Linked DNA regions of Oreochromis niloticus. The protein of the gene in region 1 purifies or fractionates together with the protein of each later gene. This does not show direct contact. Links are inferred from orthologs where the notes say so. Each region holds a gene or a part of one and is shown on either strand. Other genes may lie near its edges.

What was found. Proteins that work in one complex are often made in the same cells at the same time.
Region 2: the proteins of kdr (region 1) and shc1 purify together in Homo sapiens (affinity purification with western blotting; 3 studies listed by BioGRID and IntAct, with this or other methods). This does not show direct contact. The link is inferred for Oreochromis niloticus from reciprocal best matches to the Homo sapiens genes KDR and SHC1.

What each region holds. Positions count from the first base shown.
Region 1 is NC_031986.2:37,676,580-37,683,905, forward strand, and holds the start of kdr (vascular endothelial growth factor receptor 2), read right to left. Parts: upstream 3,041-7,326; 5' UTR 2,796-3,040; coding exon 2,729-2,795; intron 1,809-2,728; coding exon 1,715-1,808; intron 1-1,714. UniProt on the Homo sapiens protein: Tyrosine-protein kinase that acts as a cell-surface receptor for VEGFA, VEGFC and VEGFD. Plays an essential role in the regulation of angiogenesis, vascular development, vascular permeability, and embryonic hematopoiesis.
Region 2 is NC_031976.2:20,859,173-20,867,252, forward strand, and holds the start of shc1 (SHC-transforming protein 1), read right to left. Parts: upstream 3,067-8,080; 5' UTR 1-3,066. UniProt on the Homo sapiens protein: Signaling adapter that couples activated growth factor receptors to signaling pathways. Participates in a signaling cascade initiated by activated KIT and KITLG/SCF.

The DNA of each region.
Region 1 (7,326 bases):
TCAAAAGTGAAACGGAGGTGTTCATGTAGGCATGAAGCTAATAAATTTTGAGTCATAGTTACTTTTACTGAAACACAGGAAGAAGAGATGACTTCATGAACAACTCTGAAACTACACACTTATTTTCAGAGCTATGACAATAGAAAAAGCTGAATGTTTACACTGGAAGAACGCTAGTTACTGCATTAGCAAAATTAGTAAACTATACATTTTACAAGGAGCTGGTGGTGGACTTCAGAAGGAGTCAGCACAGAGACTACAAGCCCATTTTCATCAATGGAGCTCCAGTGGAGAGGGTGCAGTCCTTCAAATATCTTGGTGTCCACATCTCCTCAGACCTGACATGGGCTGCCCACATTCAGGTCCAGACCAAGAAGGCTAGGCAGCGCCTGTATCACCTCCGACAACTAAGGAAGTTCAGGGTCTCTCCAAAGATCCTCAGGATCTTCTATACAGGCGCTGTGGAGAGTATCCTCACACAGAACATGACAGCGTGGTTCGGGAACAGCTGTGTGAAGGACCAAAAAGCTCTCCAGAGAGTGATCCGTACAGCAGAACGCTGCTGCAGGATTGCTCTCCCCCCACTTCAGGACACCTACACCAGGAGATGCCAGACTAGAGCAACGCAGATACTGAAGGACCCGTCCCACCCTGGCAACAAACTGTTCCAACTTCTACAATCTGGTAGAAGGTTCCGCATCATCCGGGCAAGGACAGAGAGACTCAAGAAGAGCTTCTATCCTCAAGCCATCCAGACCCTAAACCAACACACACACATCCTAATAACTTGTGTTTATGTACAGTTGTTGGAACTGATGATCTTGGAAACTGCAGATTTTTAGAAATGACTCCAAGATACCTTCCAAACTTGTGTAAATGTACACTTCTCCATCTTAAATCCAAAGTTCCTTGGGCTTTCCCATTGGTCCGAGTTTTGGTCAGTCCAATGAGTGTTGTCAAATAAATCTCTTTTATGCTAGCCTAGCGAAACTACCAGTTGTAGTCAATCATGATTACAAGTTAATAGGCCTTGGACATGTAAAGTTAAAAGACATTGTAGAACCTTCGGAACCTCTTATTAAAAGATTTAACTCAACGTATATATTTGAGCATGCATGTTTTTACTTTTGACTGTGTGGATCAAAGAAAAGACTAAATAAATTGAAAAATTGTGCACCTTATCTTTGTTTTGTTTTAATCATTAAAAATGAATGCTGTGTAATCATTAATAGCCAAAACTTAGCATGACATTCATCTCCAGGATGAAACTCCTGGCCACATCTGTATATGTCTAATCCTTACCTTACCTTAATTGTAATATTAAGCCTAAAACCAGGTCTTTTTTCAAGCCTGCCAGTGAACAGCTGCCAAAGAATACCAGCACCAAAAATTCCTAACTTTTAAAAAATGTTATCAAATGGCCATGTTTTTACTTAAATCCTATTCATTTATTGACTTGGTCTTCCTGTAAAATACAGTTACTCCTGTCAGATGTTCATGTTGTTTATATGAGGAGTTCTTGAGAACCCACACTGCACAGGCACCTTTTGAACAGAGACAATGACACGCATACATTTGCTGCATGTGATGAGGGCATGAATAAGTTCTAGGGTAGTTTTGCTGTTTGGCAAATCTTTCGGTGTGAAGTAAAAAGTTTGTTAAACCAGTTTCCCCAACACTAGCTTCTGTAAGGTGTATGCATAGTCTTACATACCTGCATGTTAGTTCAAGGCTGTCAGATTTGTTCATCCTATGGATGCCATAGATATTTAGTGTCGGTGGATCAGATATAAACCGCAGTTCCGCTGCTGGAGAGATTAACAGTACAAATCAGTCACAGCAACGACTAACTTTTAACACAGTCGGGGTGATGACATCAGTCTCTACAAACAATGATTAAATGAAGGTTTCAGAGATCATGGCCCTACTGTTTTAAACAAATGCACATAAGATTAAGATTAAATCAAAAGGCACAAGGTAAAAACTGAAAGTAGAGCACAGGAAAAAACAGTCTCCATTATAAGATGTGCTTTGTATCTGAGTCTCTGGCTACATAGGGCCCTTTTTCCATTGCTGCAGCAAATGGCGGAGCTGTGTGAAAACAGGAAGCAGGAGAAGATGGGCCGGGTCAGGCTCAATAGTCTAGCACAGTGTGCCTTAGGTGGGGTTCCTGTTTCTGAGGATACAGCCTGCCCACCACCTCCCTGTGAGGCCCTAAAGGACATAATGCATTGTATGGAAAAAAACAAAAAAAACAAAAAAGAAAAAACTAAGTGTTGAGCTGAGCTGATGAAGTGGGCCTTAATGATCTCAGAAGAAAAAAAAGTTTAAACTGTTGAACAACGTAGCACATCAGCAGAAACTAGTTACTTTTTACGTTTACATTTTACAACATAAAAACAAGTCATCAGGCCACAGTTCAAATGTTTTTGCTTAAATGTTTGAAGGTTTATCCTCTAATCCTCAAACTGGACTGCAGTTCTAAAGTGACAGAAAACATTCAGCAAAGACTAAAACTATAGAACAACTGAGGACAAAGTGTTTGAAATGTCTTAGAAAAGCGGCAAAAGCTTTTATAGAACTGCAGGGTGACTTTGAGTTGACAGATTTAAAAAAGAAAAAGAAAAAAAAAGATCAAACTTAGATCATAATCTAATATAATTCATGTTTTTCAGCTTAATTCGCTATTAAGGTAGACGATTAAATGGGGATAATATTATTATCTTACCAGCAAAACAAGTGATTTCCAGAATAATGCCCAGTAGTGGAATGACGGACAGTGTCTGCGCCATCATCCGACAAAAGACAAGGACAAAGTCCTCATCAAAGTCCAATTAATAACGTAACTGTAGAAATAATGATAATCCTACTGCCTCATTACCAATCCATTAAAAAAAGCTGTTTTATATTCCACCCCAGAGAAAGTTTGAAAGTCATGAAAACAGCCTGCAGTGGATGGTGATCAGCAGTGGCTAAAGTGTGACTGTGCGTGTCCCCATGGAGCTGTTGCGGCTGAGGATGGAGAGACGCGCCTCGGCTGAGCAGCCTGCCTGCAGGGGAGGAGTCTCTCTCTCTGACTCTCTGTAAAATTACCAAGGCGAATGCTGCCTGCAATAAACTTCTGGGCTTGTTGCCCAGTTGATGGGAGGACTTACTGAACTTTGAGAGAAACTTGGGAGACTTAAGAACTAGTGACAGCCAGGATGCATAACCCCCTGCTGAGGAGTCGTAAAAATGTTTACACCATAACTTTGACTCCTAGAGTAGTAATAATCATAAAATTTATAAATTTATTAAAAGGAAAATCCCATTACCAAAAGCATTAAGAAAACGTGTGTTCATAAGTTAGGGTTAAGGACCTGTTTTCACTCCTGCATAAAAGTAGAAAGAAGCCCAAGAGTTGCTTATTCTCGCCTCCATGTGACCTAAAGCAACATTAGCATGATAGGTCAGAGAACCAAAGCCATGAGGCCTAATAATAACTAAATTCTTGTTTCCTTGTAGATTCACTATTGCTACAACCCCCTTTATACAAACAGGTTACTATGGTTGAATGAGAATAATTTTATATTTTTTTACGCTTCTTCTAGAACACAGTTAAAACGCGCACACTTCGGGTGAGGCGTACATCTCCCTGCGAACAGACCCTACGCACTTCCATACAATCACACTGCTCCACACTTTTATCCTGCCGGAGTTGCTTTGGGTGATTCTCTGGCTACTTATGCTTAACAGCCACTTTGTTAGGAAAACCCTTTAAACTGTTCCCTAACGCAAATCTTCAATCAGCCAAACACGTGGCAGAAACTTACTGCATGTAGTTTTGGTGCATAACCGGAAAGTCGATTCTTTTCATCTGGGCGCAGTGTTTTCGGTGGGAGGACTGTAAATACAAGAAACAGTGGAAAGTACAATAGGTTTAATTCATGCGCTGAAATCGCTATATTAAAGACGCAGTTGAAAACGTATTCTTCGGCGATTAGAAAAATGTTTAAACATGTCCTTTGTGTGTGCTGCAGCTTGTGAACTTAAAAGAAAGACAATGGATATCGTGGATGTTGGTTAAATATGATTTTAATGTCATTTCTATACGAAGTCCCCCTCTTTACAAATACAGTATGGTGTTGTCTAACTGTGTAACAAAAGACTGCATTGATTATCATGAATTTGAAGATGCATTAAAAAAAATTCTCGATATTTTATAATCAAATAAAACAATATTAAGATATTCATAGAACAATTAATTAACCGTTTAATTAATTCATGTAATTCTGGAATTAATGTCACCTTAATAACCTGTGAATTTAAAGTATCTCATGATTCCTGAATACAGACATTAAGTAATGTAACAACTGTGTTACAATTTGGGCATTTTAGTCATCATGATTATTCACAAAAAAAGAAAAAAGCTATTTAGGCTTTTTCATGTAAGTTTGCAGTTCCTGGGACAGGCTGAAAATGGAGCAGTAATGGTGAAATGCAGTATGACTGACTAAACCTAACTAATGACTAATGTCCCTCCAATGCTGATCTGGTAGCTTTTTAATACTTGGAAATAAATTACAGCTGTAAAATAATCAAAGTATTAAGCTTTACTAGAGACACAGACTGGGCCTTTTTACAGGGTCAAATATATCTGTGGATCAGGTTCCATTGCCTGCCCAAAGATATCTGTTAAGGTTTGGAAAAAGAAACAGATAATCTGGGACAGTGCCAAAAACATGTCAGGAAAGCAGGGCGCAGCTTATACCAAACCCAAATGACATTTACATTAGGACTGCTGCCTTGAAAAGAGGAAAGGGATAAAGGTAATACCTGGAACTGATTAACATCAGATTGTGTCCCATTTTTGTATTTTTCCAGAACTTCAAACGTGTGATGAATGTAGTGCTTCATCTGATGAGGAGGGAGGAGGCTGTGTTTTGATGCTGGCGTGGATTCAGGAGGGTTGAGGGAGATGATTGAGGGCTGTGTGTTATGCGCTGCATCCACATGTTTCCTGGCCTGGTCACTTCTACTGGGACTCTCTGAATACTAAACTGCCTAGCTGCCTTGTAACCATCATTTCCTGGAGGACAGTCTACACTGAATTCCCTTCTGGAAAAGCTGGAATCAGAAACATTTTTCCATTTTTCTATCTCTGTTTATTTTCTAAATCCAAAGAGAGGTGATTGCTTTGAACTCTGGCCCACTCACAGACAAAGAGAAATGTTTTCATAGTTTAAAGCATTTGAGCAAAGGAGAGGAAAGAATGAGCAGTGTGTGGTTGTGTGGAAGAAAATATTTTACTGTATTTTGCAATTTTCCTGTAAAATTACAATAACATAATAATAATACTTGTTATTATTATTATTATTAGTAGTAGTAGTAGTAGTAGCGACTGCTAATTTGTCCTCCATTAAACTGTTGAACTAAAATCTACAAAAGAGATACATGGATAAAATGTGAGCTTAATGGTATAAGACTGTCAGCTGTTGTCAGCTGTGACTTAATTAGGTACAGCTGTCCAACCATTCGTTCAAGTAAATATCTAATCAATCACATGGAAGCAGCCCATTGTACTCAGACATTTAAACATGTTACAACCTACTGAAGTTCAAACTGAGCATCAGATGTGGCAGAAAGCTGATTTAAGTGATTTTGGTTGTTTGTGAATAAGAGAGGCTGGTCTGTGTATTTCAGAAACTGATGATCTGCTCAGCTTTTCCCAGCAGATCATCAGTTTCTGAAATACACAGGCCAGCTTCCCCAGGACTTACATAGAATGCCCCCCGATATCCACTGAGCAGCAGTTCACTGGAAAAAATGTCTTGCTGATGACAAAGGTCAGGGGAGAATGGTCAGACTGGTTTGAGCAACACAGCAGCTGTTCAAAGCACTCAATGCAAGTATGTAGAAGAGCATCTCCTTATATGAACTTTGAATATGTTGAACTTTGAATCAGATGGACCACAGCAGCAGAAGACCACAATGTGTGGCAGTCCTGTCAGCTAGGACAGGAAATGGGAAACTGAAGGGCTAACAAGGCCTCAAAATCGGACAACAAAAGATGTGAAAAATGTTGCCTGGTTGATTTCTGCTGCCATATTTTGACAGTAGGATCAGAATTTGATCTAAATGCATTTATGGTTCAGGCTGGTTGGAGTGACGTAATGGCATGGCGGATATTTTCATGAAACATTCTGGGCTCCTTAGCACTTACTGAACATCATTTAAACACCATAGCCTTCCTGAGAATTGTTGCTGAACATGTCTGTTACGACCCGGTTTTGCTAGGGGACAGGGAAGGTGGCATAAACGAGACCCTCACGAGGGAGATCAGTTAAGACAAAGTTTTATTTACAGAAAAAAACTCAGAACTGAAAACCGATAGCGACATTTACTACAAACCACAAGGCAAATAACCAATACAAAAATAACTTGCTCATGTACAAGTAGAAATTAAAGCTAGCCTCATGGGCTGTAACATGACTAAACGCTATTCAAACAAATTCCACACCTTAAACAGGGTTTCACAAGCTAGGCTCACAGACTGTGGGGCAAACTGCACATTCAGTTCAAAGCAGCAGCCCCTGAATGAAAGTTCTTCAGCCCTTTTGAAGGCACAGGTGTGCACAATTGGTTGCAGATTGATCTCTCTCCCTGGAGGTGCAAACCACAGGTCTTCAGGCAGCCAATTGTCTGTGTGGATTGTCACATTCGAATTGACATGCAGGAAGGCTAGCACGGGTTCCCAGACAGCCAATCGTCTGTCGGTGTTGTCACGGTTGAATTGGGGGGATTGAATTTGTCACGGTTGAATTTGCTTGAAGGAAGGCTAGCTCACTTCTTCCAAGGCCAGGAGCCATAACAATGTCCATTCCCTTATGATCACAGTGAACTGTCTTAAGATAAGATAAGATAACCTTTATTAGTCCCACACGTGGGAAATTTGTTGATGGCTTCTGATGGCTGGTTCCAGCACAATGTCACAAAAGTCAAATCAAATCAAACTGGTTTCTTAAACATGACAGTGACAGTGTACTGAAACTGCCTCCACAGTCACCAGATCTAACTCCAGTAGCTCTTTGATATGTGTTGAACCAGGAGATTGGCAACATAAATGGGCAGCTGACAAATCTGCAACAACTGTGTGATGCTATCATGTCAGTATGGACCCAGATCTCTAGCACTAGTTGAATCTATGTCAAAAATAGCTAAGGGAGTGCTGAAGGTAAAAGGAGGACCACCTAGTAAGGTGTAACTAATGAATCTATACTTTGAACCTGTACCCTGTGTTCAGGTTTTTGTCTTTCCTGGACGAAAAATTACAATACCCCATATCAC
Region 2 (8,080 bases), on another chromosome or scaffold:
TCGCCCAGCTGGAAATGCTCAATCAAAACTGCTGTTAGGCTGATTTCTCTATGCACGTCTGTTCTCACCCTGTAACTTTATTACGGCCTAGTTCAAATAGCAATCGCAGGACAGAGTTATTTACCTGAGAGAAAAATATTGACACTGTCACAGATGATATGAACGAGCCAAGAGTTATATTCCTTCCTTATCTAAAGCAGGGCTTATCAAGCAGCAGGTAAGCTCTCTCTACTGTACAGACACCACCTCACATCTCATAGTCTGCATAGTCCAATCTAGAAGGCAAACAACAGTCTGTTTACATTAACAGTCTCTCACAAACCACAGCCCCACAATTAAAACAGTCAGCCACAGTTTGACCTCAGTAGGAGGCAAAGCTACACCTACAGTCCAGCAGCAAGCTGGCTGGCTGGCCTACAACTTAGTGCTGCTGAGGCACTAGTCATACTTACAATCTGTTGACCTTTGCTCCCTCAAAGGAGAAGGTTTACACCCACCTTTTCCACAACACATACAAAAGTCTGTAAAAGTGGCACCAGCGTTTCAGTAATGCCAAGCAAAAAAGGTTGATTATTTTTTTCTCCTCACACTAAGATTTCAGAACTTCACTCTGCCTGAAGGACAGCCCGCAAGCTTGTGGTGGGCGCTCAATGCATGGCAAAGGAACAGTCGCCTACACCAGTCTAGCACCACAGAGGGATTGTCTAGCAATTCTAGCTAGTCATCCATCTGGTCTTGGCCAGAAAGCACCATGGAGGATCCAGTCATACTTATGAACTGCAAGACAGGCTGGGATGATCTCCAGAAAGCTGTAAAGTAGTATGGCTGGAAAAGTCACAACATGCACACACTCACAGTACTTGGACAGTCAAAGAGCATGCAGATTAAACAAAAAGGTCTGTCACACATCTAATAAAACCAGAACTTAGTCCGTAGAGAAGAAGAATAGCACTTAAAAAGGCAAAGGATTCAATCTCAGTAGACTTGCTAACACTGGAGAGAAATTCAGGTGCTGTTAAAAAAAAGAGAGCTGCTGAAATGCTCTATGGGCAGAGTTAACCCTGGCTCTTCCCAGGGATGTTTTAGTGCACCGAACACAGTGTAGGTCAGGTGACTGCAGAGGAGATGACCCTCTACAGGAAGAGAAATCCTGAGTCACCTAGAGACAAACAGCAAAAGGAAAAGGCTGTCACAAACACAGCTAATGACTGGTGATTGGTGGCCTTGGGGCCACGCAGCTGTGATACGTACAAGTGAAATCAGTACTGTAATCTAATTCATCCAGTCATTTCTGATAAGAGCTCATCAGTTTGACTGATGGAAATGGTAGTTGTCATTAATAAATGTGAGATCGGGACAGGCTGGACGGAGATGAGTCGTACAAGGCGAACACGGAAAATTGGGAGGGGGAGACAGGTGACCTGAAACAACCCTGATTCCCGGAGCTTGCCGAGCTCCGCAAAGACAAGGACTGTCTACTGGAGAAGAAGGGAAACAAAAACTCTAAAAACTGACACAAACAATGGACTAATCTTGTTTTATCTAGTAAATATATACAATTACCTAATGGCACAGCACCAGTTTAAAAAGATAGGACAAGAAAAACCAACTTTACATCTTGTTCTGTCTGCAGCTGCTGCCCGTTGCTATGGCAACAGACATTAAAAGAGATGCCTGCAGAGGATATATACTGAGAAGTCCTGACAACAGCAGAAATCTTCAGACAAAGAGATAACCGCTTTGTCAAATCACATTGCAAGCAATTAGTAGCTCCATCAAAGGCTCCACATTAGAGCTCTTTTTATTTCATCCAACAGGAGAAAAACTACAGACTCCTAGAAAGATCAATATGGTTCAGGAAATGATCAAAGTTTGGCCGGCATCGCGCCAGCCATAAAACCCAATCAATGTTGACATCCGACGTCGGTCGCTCGCACCGACTCCGACTAGGGCATGTAAAACTGACACTGTGTTCAAAGAACAATAATCTCTTTTCTAATAACTGTATAAACAAGAATTTCACCAAGAATTAACATCAAAAAGACAACTGATGTTTAGAAAACTTGCATAAAAACAACCTGAATATTCTGTGCAGCAGCTAACAAAGATTAGAATGACTGTATAACATCCTGCAGAGTAGATCCTATGCTCATGAGGGATAGGGAAAGAAAATAGAAAATCACAAAGGGAGTCTGTATTTCCAAAAAAAGAAAAGAAAAAGTAATTAAACTGTTCTGTATAAAGTGAGTCTTATCGATTTCCCTAAGTGTTTTAATGAATGGCAAAAAAAACAAAACAAAAAAACAAAACAAAAACCGAAGTAGTTCCTTTTTTGGTTTATAAAGCATGCAATTGATAATCCACGGTGATTCTCCTAAAGCTAGGTTCCGTATTCACATAAGAACCACATTAATGTTTAAACGGCCACAGCCTGTCCGATCATTCGTCCTCTCCTTCCTCTTCCTAGCTTTCCCTTCGTCCACTCCCCGAAAAACGTGCTTCTCCTCTGATCCGCTCTTCCGCTCGATTAATTCACAAAGTCACTGCCGGCAGCTCCTCTCCATCTATCCTCTCCTCCGTTTGGCTGCCTCCTTGTTTCGTCCCTCCTCTCACTCTCTTTCTCTCTCTCTCTCTCTCTCTCTCTCTCTCACTCTTTCAGCAGATGGTGAAATGGCAGTGTTGCCAGGATGGATGATGGTAGATGGTAGTCCTTCATTGTGCTCCTCTTCTCCCCTCACGTCTGTCTCTCATCCCCACTTTCCTTCCACCTCAGTCTGTCTGTTAGAGGCACAAGCACACTGTCTGTCCTCCCCTCCTCCCAGTCTGGGTGGGTGATGCTGCCTCCCATTCTCTCTCTCTCTCCCTCTCTCTCTTTCATACACACACATACACACACACGACCGCGCCACAGCCTGTGCCCTCCCCACCTTCTTTTCTCCCATGCTACCTCCTTCCTGTTTCCTTCCCTTCCCCCCACCTTCTCTCTGCAGCCAGAGTCATTTAGCAGTATACATGTGTATGCACAGCAAGATGCTGCACTTCTACTCAGAAATGCACACACTCCAAGGGGAGATGGAGATGGGGATGGGGAAGGAGGAATGAAGGGAAGGGGAGAGAAGGGAAGGGATGGTGGATACATGTGTTTGTGTGTGCATGTGGAGGGTGGGCTGTTCATGTTGGGTATTCAACGCTCCTCCCTTATTCATGTTTGGTAACCTGAGAAACACAGTTAAAGAGTGAGGGGAAGAGAGAGAGAGAGGGGAAGGATGGATATAGATAGCCTCTGTGTGCTGTGACATGAGGTCACTCTATATAACCTTGGTAAGTGGACAAAGTGAGGGGAAAAAGAAAGCAGACTGCACTCGCATGATAAATATTTCCAATGTTACTACATGACTACAGCACTCTAGGGGAAAAGACTGGAAGACATAAAGCAGAAATCCCACAGATTGGTCTTGACATTCGAGCGCATCTGATGAGAAGGCAGTGTTGCGGAAAGTAGAGGAAACCACACATAGAGTGACACAGGAACCCAGCAGAGTGGATAGCAGAGAGTCCTCAAATGACACCCCAAAGAGTCCCCGCAGTACCCAATTTCACCACTACACCATCATCATGAGCTCAAGCAGTGCACTCAAGGATGTGAAGGTTCATAATGAGACAAACTGCAGACAGCTAACATTCGTCATCATACACAGTGATCTGATTGGTAGTGACGGGCATGATTGGCGAAGAAGACACCCTCCACCCGCAGCCTGCGAGACGCCCAGAACCAGTGAAACACACGATACACTGTGGCTTAGGGTTGACCTAATTGAAATTTTGTGCTCCCTTATTAGATTCAGTGAATTAACAGTTCAAGTGCCATCTTGAATTTACATTAAAAAGGTAGCAATCACGCTGAGCTGACAGCTTATTCAGTACACCCAACTAAAACTACTGCAGTTCAGCCACTTTCTTCTCCGTGGAGCCGCAGCCTCCAAAAATAACCAAAAATATCCATCTGAAAATATAGATATGGGTTTTTTTTTTATCTCAAAAATGTAAGGTTTATCTCACAGCTTCCAACTGCATTTGTTTTATTTGGGTGTAACTAATAAACTGCAGAGGAAGCAAAGTTAACATCCCATTCAAACCACAATAAATTTACATGCACAGGGCTGTACAATTACTGAAGCACGATTTCAAAACGACTTTTTTTCCAGTTCCTTCTTGCAGGTGAAAACTTGTGCAATATTAAATGAGGTGTAAAAAAAGAGGGGTGTGCGATTTTTCTGCATCACATTGTACTGCTTCTTAGAAGGCTCTCTCTCTTGAATAAGGTTTTTGTTTTATGTTGCATATGCTACTTGGAAACCCTTTTAAATGGGTCAGAGAACATTCCAGTTTGTTTCATATCAAAGCCTGAAACATGACACTTTCATAACGCTCGATTATAATTTCATGAAAATGGAAAGGAGGCATCTTAATTGGTGAAATATTGCACACCAGCTACAATCACTCATGTGTCCACAGTATCTTTGGGAGCAATTTTATCTTATTCTTGGTGTAATTGTGCAGCCCTGAAATTACGGTGCTTTAACAAATAACGCTTACTTTACACATATGCCCACCAGGGCTGGATGCGAGAGTCTGTTCATTTCTATATTATATCAGAAATTTAGAAGCAGCAACTCCTTTGCCACCGTGGCACGATGTGTTTTTTTAATCAGCTGCTCGTATGATTTTAATGTCTTACCATATATTCCATCAGCCAGCACAGGCAGCGTGAGAGTCTGTAGCCCTAAAAACACCAAGGTGCACATCAGCACACAGTACACAGCATACACAGTCGCAGACAAGCACACACACACACAAATCAAAGAGCAAATTACAGCGTGCTCAAACCAGCGCCCTTGCAGCCACTTGACTTCCAGCATGCTTTGCTCCCAGCATCAGCTGTGGAGAGAGTCATGGGACCTTCTTCATATCGAGCACATAGACACACAACATTGACACAGGGCAGAGGCCGGGCGATACTCAGAGGGATAAAGTAACAGAAAGCGAAGGAAGGAGAGAGGAAGAGTGAAAGGAGAAAGGCAGAAATCCGCTGTGCATGTTGAAACATACCCTGTGGAATGAAAAGAATCAACTCAAAGGACTGCATGTGTAGGTTGTTTGTGTTTCAGCTTGCCCAGTGCGAGTTAGCAAGTGTGAGTTTTGGTGTTCTGCGCCTGCAGAAGTCTGTGGAAACTGCAGCTAGTCAGTATTTATTAGATGAAACAATCGGAGACAGACTAAGAAAGAGCTCTGGATCTAATGCACACGCTGCAGGGCCACATCTGCAGTCTGCTCTTACACTGTATATCTGTGTGTGTGTGTGTGTGTGTGTGTGTGTGTGTGTGTGTGTGTGTGTGTGTGTGTGTGTGTGCATGTGTGTGTGTAATGTGATTTGACCCACCTCACTTATCCTTATTTGAACTAGTCAAAAAAAAATTAGCAAAGATGAGTAAACGGGGCCTCGATGCTGACATTTTCCTCTTGGATTCTTGCCAGAGATGCTGACTAACATCAATTCCTATTATCAAGGCAAGACAGACAGTAAAGAGTCGAGTAAAGAATGAACAATAGAAGGGAGAGAGGGAGGAAGCGTAACTCACACGGGAAAGTCTCAAACGTAAACACAAATAAGCAGGCACACTGGAAAAAGGCAATCAAATTTTCAAAAATTAGGCTGAGGGTGAACATTAGATTAGCCGGGGCTTCAGCAGGAGTACTTTCTCTCGGCTTCATAGCTCACTACGCACACAGCAAACATGTGAGCTGGCTATTTTGGGTTGTGCTTCCACCACCACCACCACCCCTCCTCTAACCACACTCCCACATCTCTATCTCCTTCCATCATTCCTTTCCTGCTACCACTTTCTGCTTTGCTCCACTTACAACTTCCACTTACAACTTCCTTCTCAGTTTAACGGCTTACTTGTCAGAAACTGCGGTGTTTCTTCACTGAAGTTCCAGCTCAACCTTTGAACATTGTCTGGCGTAACTTTTAGTCCTCTGTAGCAGCGAGTATCGAAATTCTTCAAGGGTTCAAGTTTGCATGAAATACTAGGGTCGGGTTTTTTCTTTTACACAAACATATGTTTCCGGATTTAAGTCATAGCTTTGCAAACTTTGTGCAGTTTGCTTTTGCTCAATTAACAAAAGTTCCGATCACACAGCAAACAGGGGCGAACAGCTGAAAGCAAAGTGCAAACACAATTTGATTCAAACTTTTTTCTACTGGACAACCACACCACTTCACCCATTAAGACTGTGTCATCTAATTTAAGTACATGTTGCTGAGTCGCTGCTTTTACTGTTATTTTAGCAAGTTTCCAAGTCGATTTATTTTACTGCTGTTTCTTTAAACATTGCTTTATGTCCAAGTGTATCTGAATAATGTTAACCAGTGGCTTCAAGAGTGCATGCTGAGGAGTTGCACTGAAATCAAGACACAGAATAATCAACGTTACAAAACAATAACAGCTAGGAGATGTTAGCTTGACCCTAAAGTGACCCTAAAGAGTTACTTCAATACTACTGTTTTATAAGCTGAAGTAAGATGTGGGATCATTCCATCTAAAAACATCACATTTTCTGCTCAGCTACCTGTGATTTGCCTGAAAATGTTACAGTTTAATTCGGACATAAATGTGTGATTATTGGGAAATTTTAACTTTGCAAAAGACAACTGGTGGACATTTCTTAATGGTATATAGCTGTATTTCACAATAAGATGAAATAAAGCATGCAGAATCCCCTTTAAAATGCAATTATTACTCACCGAAATGAAGAAAACTCTATTTTTATTCAGATTTTGTTATGATTGATCAAATATGATAATTATGATAAGCTGTACCCAGCAGAGAGTCTTCCCCAAATAGTACAAAATTCTGGAGTTTCTTGGAGTACAAGAGCTTTACTTAAAACTGAGAAAATAACTGTGTTAAATATATACATATTTTGCCTGCTTTGTGGGCATGCACATTCAGGCTTATTATTATTATCTTTAAAATATGCTGAAGACCTCCGTTGAAGCGAGCCTGAAGGAATCCTGATCTGCAAGAAGAGATACCGTTTGAAAATGCAATCTCAGCTTTCTGAGTAAAAAGAGAGAGAAACCACAATAAAGACACAAACAGACTTTCAACTTAGATACGTGGCACCACAGAGTCACTCCGCTGTAACGCGCTGCATATAAAAATGCAACAATTAGAGCCTCTCATACAGAATTCAGGAAAACCATCAGCAGCCATCACGCTGCTAATGAAATTCCGCCGAAGCTGCACTAACTTCTGTTTTTTTAGCATCGCACGGGACGAGATTTTAATCAAACTGTGGCTCACGCAGTGCGCTGCACACTGAGCACGCCGCGCTAGACTGAGCACCGCAGGAGGAAACGCAGCTGAGACTCGGCTCTATTGTATGAAGGCAGTGACGGACAACCACATGCTATGGCCTCAAAAACAAACTCCTACAGTTGGTTTCCAGAATGCGCTCATACACACCAGGAAATAGAAAAAAAACCAACGCACATAAACAACCCCCCTCCCCACATGGTCGGAGAGACAGACAGATACAGTACATACGCCAGACAGAAGGAACCCGAGAAAAACACCTCCTCACAGGTCAAGACACCCACACAAAAAGCGTATGTAGTGTCAACAGTCTCGAAGTGTTTATAAGAGCTTAGCACCTCAGCACTGTGTTTTGTCAATAGCGATGCACCACAGGCCAAATCCAAGTCTAATATCTGCGGTAATATTTGCACTGCTAACAAAAATCTAATTCTTTATTTTTGAATTGGCTTTGCGTCTGAGACACACGGACTCCGTGCACAGCTGTCAAACTGAAACCGCTGTAACAATCAAGTGTCACACACTCCCGTCAATCAGGGCGAAAGCTTTTACCGGTGACTGAGAGGTTTGAAGGGAATTGGACAGATCCAATTTTAATCGAGTGGATTTTGGTTTACGCTGGAGTGTGATGGAGTGGCCGAGGCGCACGACTTTGGCTGACAGTTTGTGTCCTCCTGTCTGTGTTGTGTTTGTTTATG